Tamandua tetradactyla: one gene and its partner. The protein of the gene in region 1 interacts with the protein of each later gene in a biochemical or structural test. Links are inferred from orthologs where the notes say so. Each region holds a gene or a part of one and is shown in the gene's direction. Other genes may lie near its edges.

What was found. The genes of interacting proteins can lie anywhere in the genome.
Region 2: of the proteins of UBA1 (region 1) and UBE2E2, one has a biochemical effect on the other in vitro, tested with the Homo sapiens proteins (4 studies listed by BioGRID, with this or other methods). The link is inferred for Tamandua tetradactyla from reciprocal best matches to the Homo sapiens genes UBA1 and UBE2E2.

The regions. Positions count from the first base shown.
Region 1 is NC_135353.1:123,057,752-123,065,332, reverse strand, and holds the start of UBA1 (ubiquitin-like modifier-activating enzyme 1), read left to right. Parts: upstream 1-4,570; 5' UTR 4,571-4,717; intron 4,718-5,678; exon of another isoform or gene 5,679-5,765; intron 5,766-7,581. UniProt on the Homo sapiens protein: Catalyzes the first step in ubiquitin conjugation to mark cellular proteins for degradation through the ubiquitin-proteasome system.
Region 2 is NC_135341.1:65,248,753-65,256,760, reverse strand, and holds the start of UBE2E2 (ubiquitin-conjugating enzyme E2 E2), read left to right. Parts: upstream 1-5,004; 5' UTR 5,005-5,143; intron 5,144-8,008.

The DNA.
Region 1 (7,581 bases):
TTGGGAAGGTGGGGACAATGTGGGGTTCTGGCTGGTGCCCCCAAGACCCTGGTTACAGCCTCTCACCATTGTCAGGGTCCAGCAGGCCGTTCTGTACCAGGAAATCCAGCACCACCAGGGTACCATTGGGCTTGAAGTACCCCTAGATCTGCCTCTACAGAACCAGGAACTCAGAATACCCCCATCCCTGGCCTCATAGCCCCCCAGCTGCTCTTGATACACAATCTGGAGTCTACACTGTACGTTGCCATCCTTGGGCCTGGGTACAGTAAGTAACGTTGGGCATCTCCAAGTCAATACGGCAGGCACTGTCAAATCAGTTCCACTGCCCTAGACAGGCTAATGACCCCAGGGGGTTTGAGATAGAGAAGGCTGTCTTGACATGGAGGTGAGGTCACACCCATTCCTGGGCTTCCATCTCCATCCACAAAATCCCCATCCTCGAGCAGCTGGATTTTTCAAGTTCTTCCAAATCCTCCCACTCTGGTTGTTTGCTCCCACAATGTCTTATCCCTCAGGACCAGGGACACCTCATCCAATTGAGCTCCCCATGGCTTCCAAGTCTTGTTCCCCCTATCTCCAGGAACTCAGAATCCCCCCATCCCTGGCCTCATGGCTCCCCAGCTGCACTTGATCCACAATCTGGAGTCTAAAGTGTCTGCCAATCCCAGGTCCTAGGAATGCTCCCATGGGGCACTGGCATCTTCCCCAATCCCCTCCAGTCCAAATCTTGAGCGATTATTACCATGGTGTCCCCCTCCCCAGTCACTGCCAGCTAATCATCCACCTGCAGTTCCCAGTCATGTACGGTGGAATCTGAAGCTGGGCTTCCCCCTCTGGGCCAGGGAGGACTGCACTGTGAAATGGGACCAGGGACCCACCACCACGCACTTCCCCCCTCTCCCCACAGAAACACATGGTGGTGAGTTGAGAGGAGGGTGGAAGGAAAATGGTGTAGGAAGATCATTTGGCACTAAGCCTCTCCCCCCACTTAATATGCATTGTGCCACCATTCCCAACCATTTGTGTGCGATGAGTAGTGAGAAGAGGCCCCTAGAGGAGGCAATGGTGCTGGTTTGGGCAGAGGGGGTGGGTGTTGCTCAGTGAGAAATGGTGGGAGAAAGGAGAGGAAGGGGAAAGTAAGCAGAAAGGAGGAGGTGTGAATGAGGAGAGGAAATAGGACTAGAAAGAGGCCACCTCAGTCTCAGGATAGGTGTACCTTTTGGTGAAGATGCAGTATTCCCTCTTCCTACCCCCAGAGCACAGCACCTGCAATCCTACAGCAGAAAACCCTCATACATTGAACTATCATACATGTCTGGGGGTAGTGTAAAATGGTTCAGTCACTCTGGAAAACTGGCAATTTTGTATAAAATTAAACACACACTTGCCCTATGACCCAGCATTCCACTCTTATTTACCCAAAATAAATGAAAACGCATGCCTACAAAAAGACTTGTACCTTATGTTTATTGCAGCTATATTCATAATAGCCAAAAACTGGGAACAACTGAAACATCTAACAACAGGAGAATGAATAAATTACAGTATATTCATTCAATGGAATATAGTTCACCGATAAAAGGGAACAAAATACTGATACAAATATTAACATGGATGAATCTCACAGGCAACGTTGAGTGAAAGAGTGAAACACGAACAGTACATACCGTATGATTCCATTTATGTAAAGTTCTAAATTAGGCAGAACAAATTTATGGTGATAGAGCAGTGGCAGGGGTAGGGAGGATGTTATTCACTGGGTAAATGGTCATGGGTGGTCTCCGCAGCTTGTGCCTAGCAATAGGAATGTTTCAGGCTATGTGAAAGAGATCCTTCCTCATCTCTAACGCTCACTGCTGGCCAATCAGCCACCTGGAATTCCCAATCATGTGCAGTGGAAACTGAAGCTGGGCTGCCTGTCCTGGGCCAGGGACTGATTTGAAGAGAATAAATGGATTTTGCACCAAACCACAGGAAAGCCCAAAAACTCCATCCCACTCTTAAACCTACAGAGTGCCATTCCACAAATCTATAGATAGGGGGAGGAAGAGCCTGATAGGTTACTTTAAAAAAGAAAATGAAATCCCAGAAACTGTCTCCCTTGTGATACTCGATGCTGTAAAAAACAAGATCCAGGTGAAGATCAGCTATATAAATGATTGCCCTGACAGTGGCAGGATACATTTTGATAGTTATTGAGGAAAAGAAAACTGACAAAAGAAATGAGTCATTAACTAGCCTGAGCTCATTAAAACTGAGTAACAGAAGCATCTGTGATGACTGGATTTTGAAAATCAGAGAGGAATGTTACAGCAACTAGTCTGTATTGAAAAAGAGTGTGGCATGAGGATCCATTTCATAGAAGTATGGTTTGCACATACTTGCGCCATTACCTATTTCTGCTCTAGAGGTACAAATAGATTTTCTTTAAAAATTACATATTAGGAAAAGAACGAATGATGTCTTGTGTAATTTTATAAGGCTACTGTAATTTTGATCCCCCAAAGAGATGAGACTATACAAGAGAAAATTTCAAGCAAAAATTAAATATTAGCTAAATGGATCCAATAGTATATTTAGCAAATATATTTTGATCAGTTTTTCCCAGGAATGCAAAATTGGGTCAACATCAGAGAAGCTATGTAGGTAGTTCTGTACATTTACAGACTAAAAGTAAACAAACATAACCTCAACCACAGAAAAACAATTTGATAAAATTCAAGAATCCGTAAATCTGTACTCATAAGTAAATGGAGAAAGGAAAGCTCTTCCTTACAGTAGAATGCCAACTAATAATTCAGAACAAATGATGGAGTTCGAAAATCATTTATGAATGGTAAAACTTGTTAAACTTTACCGAGGAACAGGATATTAACATAATTTTATTAATATCAAGCATGTCTCAACTAACTTCGTATTTATTACAAAGGGAGAATTAGTAATTTTACAGTAGAGAAACCTGGCAAAAATGCTGTCTTAATCAAGGGATCAAAGTTAAAAGGGATCAATGTTAAAATCATGGAATAAGGATGGAATAAAAAGACAGCATCACTTCTGGGATATTTCCATGCAAGATATTAAACCTGAATCTAATCATGAGGAAACATCAGACAAATTCAAACCAAAGAACATTCTACAAAATAACTGACTTGTAATCTTCAAAGGTGTAAAGGTCATTAAGGTCAAGGAAAGACTGAAGAACTGTTCCAGACTAAAGGAAACTAAAGCAACATGACATTCGAATGTTCAAATCTCGCCTGCCAGGGCTACACCATTTAAAATTCCATTCCCTCCCCTATCACACTCCCTATGCCTCTTCCTTGGTTACTTTTCTCTCTACTACTTCTCCACTTGTAACATACTAGATACATTTTACTTGCTTTTCTGTATTATGTATCTCTTCCACTAGCAGGAAAGCTCCAAGAGGGAAGGAATATTTGTTTGCTTTATTCAAGGCCTAGAACATGGTTTGGCACATACCAGATCTTGGAAACACATACCACAACTGTTTGAATCACTCTCATCCTCAAAACTTCATTTTAAAAAGGCTAATATATAAAGAAGTTTTAAAGGAGAAAAAGCCATAGAAAGTACAACCAAATAGAAAATAAGCAAAGGACACGAATAGAAAGTTCCCAGAAAAAAACAAAAGCAAAAAATCCTTAAACCTATAAAAGATGTCCTAGCTTACTAATAATAAGAGAAATGCAAATAAAAATGAAACCGGATTGGCAAAAATCCAAAGGCTTGGCAATACACTGTGGGTGAGGCTGTGAACAAACAGGACTTCTCATTCATGCATTGCTGAAGCAATGCAAAATGGCACGGCCCCCCTCTCACCCTATGCCTCCTTCTCCTTTTCTTGCTTTTCTATCTCCATAGCATTTAGCAGTTAATGATACGTTTACTTATATAATATTTATTCATGTGAATACATAAAATACATAATATACTGTATTTACTATAAGACATTTATTATATGCAAAAAGATGTAAATCTTTTTCCTTATAGCTACTAGCTCTCATATAAAATATGTAGTATTTATATGTATGTCATATACAATGTATATCATATAATTACGTTTATTATGATACATATTTATATGTGAAACTAGAACTTTTACTTACTTATTAAGTTTATGATCTGTCTTTCTCCCTAGAGTATCAGCTCCATGAAGCCAAGGGAGACTCCCCAGCACCTGGACCACAATTTGAGCTTCATAAATGTCAAATGAATGAATCCTTTGGCTACCTGAGCCTTAGTCTTCCCATCTATAGGACAGGTGAGTCTATCGGTCTGGAGGCACCCCCATGTTCCGCTCCTTTCCCCCTTCTCCCCTAGCGCAGTGCCGGGAATCTCACCTCCCTAGCTTATATTTTCTCATAAACTGGGCGCTCTTGCCCACCACGTGCAACAGACACTGGCCAGATGGGACTACCACGTCCAGTGTGCCCCGCGCCGTCCGGGAAGGACCAAAATCTGTAGGGGTGTCTAGATCTGACAGGGGTGCCGATGGCGCGGGAGCACGGACGAACACCCCTCCTTCCAAGAGTCTGTGGTACGGCCCAGAGTGGGGGCCCTCCAAGGCCCCGCGCTTCCGAGCTCCGCGCAAACTCTCACTCCTATTGCGAGACGGAGGTGGTTTGCTCTTCCGTTGCCCCGTGGCTTCGGCTCATCTCCAGCAGGAAGGCGAGGCCTCCGCTCGGCGCAGGGGGTGAGCTGGAGCATGGTGACCCTAATCCCCTGGACAGCATTTGGGGGAGGGAGCTCAACTTCGGGGATACACTAGTGAGCACATTTGGAGGCTCCATACCCGGGGTGGGTGGCATTTAGCGGTGTCTGTTTTGGCAGGGACTCTTGGGAGGTGGTGTTTGGGGACTCCGGATGGGATTTGGGAATCTTTTTGGGAGCCCCCCTAGGAGGCAGGGTTTTGAGGGGTGTTTGGGAGAACTACGGGGCCCATGTTTGAGTACGCTGTCCATGGGGCAGGATTTGGGGTGTTTCCCAAGGGTGGGAGAGGAGGAGTTTAAGGTTCCTGAAGTCAAGGCGGGATTTTAGGAGGGTTGGTTTTAGGGTTCTCGTGACAGTGCTTGGGAACGTTCAGGACCGAGCTGGCATTAGGGAGGATCTGTGGCCTCTGTGATCCTGGTTTCATGATGGGGACCTCCCACACTTGGGGATCCAGGATAGCGAGACTGAACACGTCGGAGCCCACACGTTTTGGGGGAGAGGAGCCCCAGCCCAGGCTGGGGAAGAGCTGCAGGAGCCCAATCCACTAATCTCTTCCTGAGAGGACTTGGTGCCACCAGGCCTCCATTGGCCGCGGCTTTATTCATTATTCATGAGGAGGTGGGGCCGTGGGGAAAGCAGATTTTTGCCTCTTTCGCACCTGGTCTGGGAAAGCGTCGGGTTGTGAATTATTCATAAGGGGGCGGTTCAGCGTGCTGCAGGGGCGTTCTGAAATCAGCCACGCCAAACTAGAGCTCATTGATTATTCATGCAGGTGAGTAGAGCCCTGAGTCTTCTGTGACCTTTCTAGGGACGTTGGTCATAATTCGCGAGGGGCGTGGCCTTTGTGGCTTCATTTACGTGATCAGGGTTAGATTCTCGTATAGGTTCCAAAGGGGCGGGGTTTCGCGCATTGTTCGTAATACCTCACAGCCCAGTATTCCAGGTTATCAACAAAGGCTCTGCATTCCAATCCTATCGCTTTTGCCAGTTGTGTGGTCTTTGGCAAATCTTTCTGTGGGCCTGAAAAATAGGTATGAGGATAATGATAAGATCAACACCCACTCATTTATCACTTCGTTAGCCCATTTAATCTTCACAACAATTCTAGGAAGTAGGTTATTATTATCCCCTTTATAGACGAGGAAACTGGGACACAGCCATATAGCGAGGCTAAATAATTTGTGTAAGGTTACACAGCCAGTGAGTAACCAAGCCAGGATTCAAACCCACTCACTCTAGTTCCAGAGTCAGCATCTTAACCAAATTCCACTCACTCTAGTTCCAGAGTCAGCATCTTAACCAAATTCCATGATTTACACCTCCCCCAGTGTAATAGTGTTGCTACTAATGTTAGTCAAATCGCACTTACTATACTATGTGCCAGGCACTATTCTAAGTGCCTTATACATATTTATTCATTTAAACACCATCACAAGGTAGACTACTATTCCCATTTTACTGATAGGGAAATCAAGGCGGAGGGAGGTGCAGTGTCTGGCGCCAAGTCACACAGCTAGAGTAATCAGTAGACAGAAATGATTTTTGTGAGGATTTGAGACTTCTATAAGGAGATCACCTTTGAGCTGAGACCTGAAGGACAAGAAGGAACTTGTTTCCTCCTCTATATAACAGAGCTCATAAAAGCACCAACTTGCTAGGGTTTTCCTGAGGATATCGGTGTCATGGTGCATATATAAGGGTACACGACAGGAGTAATCAGTTAATGTGATTTATTATTGTTATTCAGCAGAAATGTATTGGGTGCTTATTATGTGCCTGGAGCTTTGGTATACAGTGTGTCTCTGGTGACCTAGTAGTCTGTCCTACCTAGTTCGTGGACTGTGGTGGCCATAGCATTCTGTTTTCCAGTGTTTTTCTGGGAGCGCACTTCAAAACAATATATAATATTTTAAACATTTAACATTTAGTGCGTTGTGCTGGCGCTGTTCTAAGCTCATTCTGATCTTCATAATAACTCATTTCACTCTTTTGAGATGGGTGGGTTCTATTACTATCCCCATTTCACAGTTGTGGAAACTGAGGCACTTGCCAAAGGCAAGTTTGGTTGAACCAAAACAGATCAGGTTGATGAGCAGTTTGTTGAGGGTGGGGAAGGGAGGCTTCACTCTCCCTTGGTTTTCTCTGTGGCTGGGCAGTATTATTCATGAACAGGGAGGCGTGGCCACGTTGCCTTGGCAACTAGGCTGCAAAACCATAATCCCTCCCTGCTGGGCGGGTCTGTTTTGAGTGTCTGTCCATCCAGCTTTATGCATAATTCATGATAGCTAGGTGGGACCTTTCTGATCTCTCTTGGTTTCCACGTTGAGCTGCAACAGCAGCGTCATTCATTATTCATGGCCTGAAGGAATGTGTTTTCCCTGCAGTAGCCCTATTTCCCTGCTTACAGGGTATTAGATGCAGCAGTAGGCGGGCCTGTCCCTTTTGTTCCAGCCCACCAGGCCTCATGGGTTATTCATGATAAGGATAAGAGAAGTGGTCTCGTTGGCTTCCCGGCCGCTGCAAAATCATTCATTATTCATCAACAGTAGGGTGTGGCTTCCATGTTCTAACATCTGCTTTCTGGTTGCAGAATGTTAGTCAATCAACCACCCGATCATGCATAATTCATGATCAGGAAGCATGGTCCTGATGTCCTTTCTTGGTTACTAAGGCAACCTGGCTGCAGCAACTAATTCATTATTCATGTAACCTGGGGCAAGGCCTCTTTGTAGCTTTACCTGTTTTCCCAGTTAGTGCCCTATCAACCACCAGGTGGAGCTATTTACCTCCCAACCGTACGAGTCATACAAGGGTTGAAGACCTCATTCATGATTCATAAGTGGGCGC
Region 2 (8,008 bases), on another chromosome or scaffold:
AATTGAAAAAGCAGTTATGTTTGTTCATTCATTCATTCATTTGACCACCCTTAATGGGTGATTAGTTTTTACATAAAGTGCAGATATGGAGATAAACAAAGCATAGTCTTTGCCCTTGAGGTCTTACAACAAAGTGGGGAAAATAGGCTTTTAAACAAAGGACAGGATGCAGGCGGATGCCTGCTGTGGCTGACCTGGGAGACTATTCGTGAGAGAAAGTGGCACACTCAAGTGAAATAATAATGCGTGGACTTGAGAGTGACATGACTTCCAACTTATTAAAGCATTAGGAAGGTTGGGAGCTCATACTTTGATGCAAGAGCTCTATTCAAATTTCAAATTGCTTACATACATTAACTTATTTAATCTTCCCCACTAACCCTACCGTAAGTATTAGCTCCTAAAATAAGATCCATTTAAAGAAGAGGACTCTGAGATTTGAGGGGTGAAGTAACTTGTCCATGATCACAGAGCAAGGAAGAGATAGAGCCACGATCATGAATCCAGAGAGTCCAGTTCAGCATCTCTCTAACTGCCCAAGAACAGCACAGATCAGGGTAAGGCTCTCCTACCTTCTGTCTTGGCTTCTTTCCTTCTGAGTTTTCCCTAAGTTAAAATTATTTTTATTTATTGTACTAATAATAGCATCATAACTATAACAAAGAAAACCTCATCTACAAGCTCATTGCTCTCCAAGTCTCTGGCTCTCCTGTGTCATTATTCTCCCCTTTCTGTTCTGACTGTCTCTTTCAGAGCAGATTCATCCTTTCTTACACCTCTGGTGTCTAAAGATGGCCCTCCTGAACCGATTTTATTTTTTTCCATCTCTGCTCTATCCTCTCTTAAGACTCCTTACCCATATCTCAGGACCTACTTAAACCCCTCCATTTGTGTTTCTGAGAAATTGGATGCAATAGCAAATTTCAGGAGGGACTGGCCATAACAATAGCATCCTTGATATGTAGGGGCCTGAGGAGGGAATTTCATCATTACAAAGCAGAAAGCACAGTGTATCAAAGATCTATTGCTGCATATCCAATTACCTTCAAAACTTCATGGCTGAAAATGATAAACATTTATTATCTCACAGTATATGCGGGTTGGGAATTTAAGAGTGGCTTAGCTGGGTGGTCTGATTCAGGATCTTTCTTGAAGTTTCAGTCAAGAAGTTGATCAGGGGGCGGTGTGACAGTGGCTCAGGAGGCAGAATTCTTGCTTGCCAAGCCGGAGACCCAGGTTTGATTCCTGGTGCCTGTCCATGCCAAAAAAAAAAAAAAAAAAAAATTGACCAGGGTTTCAGTAATCTGAAGTCTTGGCTGGGGCTGAAGGATCTGCTTGCACATGCACTCAGTTTCTAGCCATCTTGGATTCTTCATAGGGCTACTCACAGTATACCAGCTGGCATCCCTCTGAGTAAATGATCTGAGAGAGAGAGACAGGGAGAGAGAGAGAGAGGAAGGGGAAAAGAGAAAGGGAAGGAGGGAGGGAAGGGGAGGGAGGGAGGGAGGGGGAGAGGGTGGAGGATAGATGGGAGAGAATCCATATGGAAGCTATAATGTCTTTTATAAGGTAATCTCAGAGTGATACACCATCACTTCTCAGCATTATACTAACCCTGGTAAATGTGGGAGGGGACCACAAAAGAATGTGAACACAGGAGGCAGTGATGATCGGGAACCTCCTGGAGATTTATAACCACACATGGGCAGGGGCTACAATATGGAAGTAGCATCCAGATCCCTGTGTTTGCATCATAACTTATGTGAATGGTGCCCAGTGAAGTTTTGCAGTGTGCCATGTATACAGTCATATATAGGGGCCCAGGTGGTAGTCCCAAACCAGGTGTGACAGTCAGCACTGTTTCATTCTCTATTAGGAATTCATTCAGTCATTTATGCAACAAACATTTGTTGAACACTTGCTATGTGCCTCTATCTCAGTACTGAACTAAATAATGGGGTCCCTAGGGCCTCAGCCCTAAGGAGTTTCAATTTTCCCACATCAGTTCTGCTCTTCTTAAGTATCCATGGCATTCAGAGTGACTGCAGGTGCCTATAGCTCCCTTCAAGCCAGGATGAAGGAAAACATTGTCTTCCATCTCATTTTGTAAGGGTCCTAATTTTTGGTAAATCTGAACTAATATGATGTTCCCTCCCCAGGGGAAGCAAATATTTTATCAACCACTGATCACTGGATGCCTAAAAAGAATGGAAGTTGGTATTTTACCAATGTGGTGTGTTTTATGAAATCTAGCCTTTTCCCCCAGAGAGGTCTTTTCTATCTCCCTTCTAGTCAAACTGGAAAACTAATTGTGATTCTATCTACTCACAAAGTTGGCAGCAATAAAAGTTATAAGAAAGGCCCTTCAAAAAACTTTTCCACCTGCCAATTCTAGGGGGAAAATGTAGGCTCTATATTCAAGATTAGAAATAAGAAGTGTAGGAAAGTAGAGAGTGAGTTCATCATGATGGATTGATGAATCAGAGCAGGAAAGTGAGCTATTTGTCTAGGAGACCAAGTTTGAGTCTCAGGGGAGAGGAACAGGGAAAAATCAAGTAAAAATCTATGTTTGTAACACTGGACTCATGACAAAGTGTTGTGAACTTAGACTCCAGAGTCAAACTGCTGATTTCAAATCCCAGCTCTGCCTCCCACTAGCTGTGGACAACTGACTCAATCCCTCCAAACCTCAATGTTTTTATCTGTACAATGTTCTCATCTCAATGTTTCCATCTATATGATAGGGTAAGTCTCATGGGGTGGTTGTGAACTAGTATTATAAAGTGCCTAGAACTTTACCTGTCACAACATGAGAACACAATAAATGCTGATTATTATTACTGGAGAAATCAGAGCAACATCTATTATGTCATCAATTGGAAAAGTTCAGTGTCATTAACTCAAACAGTATTTATTGAATAAACTTAACAGTGAACTCCAACCAACAAAATCCGTGTCCAAAGGAGCTTATTTGTGGGCGAGGAGAAGAGGGAAGGCTAAAATAATTAAATTAAATATTTATTATGTCAGGTGATGATCATGGAGAAAAATAAAACGGGGAGGAGGATGGGAAGTGCTGGGGGTGGGGTGGGAGGGAATAATATGTAGAGATAGGGAATAGTAAATACAGAAATCTTGAGGCTGAGAAATGTTTGATGTGTTTCATAATAACAAGGAGGCTAGTGTGGCTGGAGGGAGATGAGGGTGAAGTAATGCTGTACTGTGTGAGATCAGAGGGGTTCTTGGTAGTGGCAGATAGATCATGCAGGGCTACGTCGCTATTGTAAGAACTTTGGCCTTTGTTCTAGGATGGGGAGACACTGGAAGTTCTGAGACAGGCGAGGCATGATCTAACCTATGCTTTAAATGATCACTCAGGCTGCTGTGTGTGTGTGGAGGGGTGGGCAGGGGAAAAAGCTCAGGTAGGAGGTTGTTATGAGTTGAATCATGTCCCCCCAATAGACATGTGGAAGTCCTAACCCCCTGTAGCTGCGCATGTGAACTTATTCGGAAATATGATCTTTGCAGATATAAGCAAATTAAGATGAAGTTGTAGTGAATCAAGGTGCCCTAATCCAATAAGACTGGTGTCTTTAGAATAGAGGAGGCACTGAGAGAGGCACAGAAAAGAGAATAGAGCCTTTTGATGTTCTTGAGTGATACATAGGGACACACCACTTTTTGCTCAGTGGTGTTTATCTGAGGCTACAGGTCAATATTTGCTTTTGGTAGTTGTCAGGGATGTTATAAAGTAACAGCCAATCCTTGAAGAAGGCATTGGATAAAAGGATTTTCAGTTCTAGACATGTATGTGGCTCTTGATTTGCTCCTGTTTTTTCTTTGGTTTTACCGAACTGAATTCTTTTGGTTGCCTGAGTCACTCTGGACTCTGCTCATTGCTCCATGGAGAGCTTAGGGCACCTGGTCTGCTGGTTTCCCTCATCTAATTCTGTGCCTAAGTGGGCAATAATGTTCAAGTCCAGTAGGTCTATTCCTACGCTTGGGAGGCTATCTTCAGTCCTGTCTGGATAGAGCACGCCATCCCATACAGCTCCAGAGACTGCATATAATGTTTAGGAGCAGCAGTCAGTTTGCAAGAGGGGCTGGGGTGGGAGAAATTCTCTGGAAGCTGAGTTTGCATAGCAGACACACTTTTATTTTTCAAATTGCTATTTGGGGTGAAGATTAAAAGGGAATCTAACGTTCCCTAAAGCCACTCAAACCATTCAAGTGTGCCTGAAGTAGGAAAAGTGCAGCACCCACCCATCCCCATCCCCACTCCCAATATTCCATGGCTAAAAGGCCTGGAATTTCTGGCTACTAACCGGTGTGCATTCTGGGTCACACAAAGTCAAAAGGCAGAAGGACCTCTGTGTTGCAGTGTCATGTGAAGAGTTTGCCTTTGCCTGGGAGAACTTTCCAGGCCAATACGGAGCTTTTGAGTACGGGTTAGTGTGTCAACGGGGTCAGTACCGAAGGCTATTTCGCATATGCACTGAGGAGGGGGTGAAGTCAAGGGCTACGGTGCGTGGGGGTGGGGCGAGAACGCCTCCCTGCTGCCAACATCCCCCTCAGTCGCAAGCTTTTAGGACGACCTTCACCCCTCAGCCAGCATATCCCTTTAATGCGCGTGCCCGTCAAGGTCTCCGCGCCCCCTCCCTCAAGACGCCCCGCGCCAGCCTCGGTTTCCCTACCTCTCCCGTCCCTGCCGTTCCTTTTCCACGGACTCCCCTCGCCCATCCCAGCCCACTGCCTGCACGCGGGACTCGGCCGTCACTTAACTTTTCCGCACGGCTTCCCCGCCCTCTCGCCCGACCCGCGGGACAGCCGGCCCGTGCGCGCGCGCCCCCTCCCCCCTCGCGGCCGCGCGCCGGGTGGAGGAGGGGCGGAGAGCGGGGCCGGTAGGGCTGGCGCGCGGCGCGGCACGGACGACGTGGGGTTCGCGCTCTCGCGGTCTCTCCCGGGCGGGCGCGCGAGCTCGCGCACTGGCGGGCGCGCGCGCGGACGGCCGGGCGGCGGCAGCGGCTCGCTGAGGTGGTGGCTTCACTTTCCAGGACTCAGGGGCGGCCACAGCGGCAGCCGCGGGCAGTAGCCTCGGAAGCCAGAGCTGGGGCGGCCGGGGGTGGCGGCCGCGGCACTGAGGGTGAGTCCAGGCGGGTGCGAGCGTCGCGGAGGCAGGCGTGGCCGGGCGTCGGGTGCCTGGGTCCAGGTTTCGGTGACTAGACGGCCCACAAGGGACAGCTGGTCCCTGGGGCCTCACCTCCCTCTGGCGCCGCCATCCCCTCGTGCATCCCGGCCTCCCTCTCTCCCCGAGCTTGGGTTTGAGCCCGCGACCTGAGCGGATGCCCCTCCCTGAGGTATCGGTCCGGGCTGGCGTCCCTTCCCCCATGCCCCCCACCCTCCCACTCCGGCCACCCTTCCACCTCGCAGGTCCCTGTGTACACCTCCCGCGCCCTGATTCCCCTCTCTCTGCTCTCTGGCGTGGCCCATTCCTTGTGTCCCCTCCCGCGAGCCTACTGCCCCCGTTTCTCGCCCTAGTCACCCCTCCCCCTCCTCCCCTTGCCCTCCTCCCTTTCTGCCCCTTCCCTTCCTTGCACTTCTTCCACCCACCTCGGTTCTCAGTTCCCCATCTTTCGACGCCCTCCCAGCCCCTGCCCTCTTCTAGCCGCATCCTGGAACTAAGTCTTTGCAAAAGTACGGGATAAATGTCACGGCGGAAAGTGCCAGGCTTGATCTTTTGCTATTTTCCCTAATTGCATAATTGCTGCACATGGTGTCTTTCCAGGCGAATGCCGGGTCTGGCTCTCGCGCCGCCGCCACCCCCGCCGCCCCCTATGGCCCACCGGGAGAAGACCTTGTGGGTTGTGTTTCTCTGTGCCCTGGTGTGGGGTGTGTGTTATATTGGTCTTTTGTGATGCCTCGATCTTGTCACAGTTTTGGAGCAGAAGCCCATTTTTCTCTGGTTTCTTCTCTGCAGCCCACACTGGCCTGGTTTGAAACTGGATTCCCTCTGTCCCCCTCCTCCCTCTTCCCTTGCTCCCACTCCTCTCCCTCTCTTTCTCTCATAATGTTTTGATCCTCTTGCCCTTTACCATTTCTAATGAAGATAAAGTGTAGCTTCTTGTGCCCCCCCCCCCCCCCCACTACCAACCAGATGTCCAATCCATCTTCCCTTAAGGAAATTAAGGTCGCTTTAGAAAGACATCATCCTAGGCTCGGTGGCTGCTAGACTAACTTGCATGTGTTCAAGATCCATCGTTATGTATTGTATATTCTGTAGAGTTCACTCATTTTTATTAAAAAGCGCTTCAGAGAAAAGATTTTAAGCTCTCTTAGTTTTTATCCTTGACTTTTTAAAAAGTGTGTTTCTGAATCTGATAATTCATTCCGGACCTTGGCAATCTAAATATTTGTTTTTGCTCCGATTGGATGCTCCTTGGCTCTTTGGAGTTTTATATGTGGATTGGTGCTAATGATGGAATATTTTCTTATGTCATACCCCATTTTCTCTCCCCTAGGACACAGCACCCCTTTTCTCCCATCTAATGATATCTTTTCTCATTTTTAAAAAATCGGTGATACCATTCTTTATTTCCTCCATAAATGTCTTTAGAGTTAAGTTAAATGCTGGGTATTGCTAGAAGATGTGTACGTAATATAAATTACTTTACATTTTAGGAAAATTTAGAAACGTGAGTAGGAAGACAGCAAGATATCAAATGACAGAATTCAGTATTTTCCTGTTATAAAAACTGAAATAGGTAGTTGCTTTTTCAGTTTAATGCCTTGAGATAAGGTTTGTCTGGCAGTAATCAGGACTCATGGAGTGATTAGAATCCCTTTTATGTCATCAGTAATATTTATAGCCAAATCATTTCTTTTTTTTTATGGAACATGTGCGCTTCATTGGTTATTATATTGGTTATTTCCAGGACTGTAATTACAGCATAAAGTACATAGTTAGTACAAGCTTAGACAATTAGTATGCATGTGAAGGAATAACATGGAAACTCTTAATATAACACATTTTAGGAAAGTCTACCTTATTTTGTTTTTGTTTAGGAAAACCAAGTTTTTGTGGTCCAAAATAAAAGTATTAGTTTAAATAACTTAATATCTTTGAAAAGCAGCTCTGTGTTTATAACCCTGGGATTTAAGTTTATATTTTCCTTAGATTAGATAATTGGAATAGATTAGCGATTTAGGAATTAAATTTAGTAAAAGATAATTTAAAAATGTTAATTTAGCAATTAATGTTTAAAGAGTTTTAGTTTGGGATTTTTATTCATTTCTACTTTAGAGTGACAACACTGACCTTAACAACTCTTTAAAATCACTGCTTTTCTTCATAAAAATTAGTTGCACATGAGTGGTACTATAAATTTTTTTCCAAACTTTTTCTGTAATCAGGCATTCATAAACAAAGACGGCAGAAATTTCACTGATTCTTGTGAAATTCATTTGTAAACGTTTCTGTAGTGGTTATCTGTTTTGTCACATATTTGTGATTTGGTTGGTTAAGATTTGGATAAAATGAGTATGTTGGGTTAAAAGTAGAAATAAAATTTTCTTCTTTATTATGAAACTATAGAAATTATGCATCTCTTTGGGCATTTTTTTTCCCCTAAGCTTTTTATTTTGAAATAATTTCAGATTTAACAGGATAATTGCAAAAATAATACACCAAACAGGGAGAGAACTCCACATGCCCTCCCCTGCTCCATACCCGTATCCACCAATTTTAACATTTTGCTGTATTTGTTGTATCACTCTCTATATTTGTCCTTCTGTCTATCAGTCTTTCTACCAGTTATCTAAACATGTGAGAGTATCATGCTTCTTGAATCTGTAATGCTTCCATGTACATTTCCTAAGAACAAGGGTATTCATTGTGTAACCACCTAAAGTACAGTTACCAAGTTGAAGAACTTTAACATTGATATAAAGCTTTCAGTGTAAGTTCCAATTTTTTCATATGTCCTAATATCATTTTCTTCTCCATTATTAG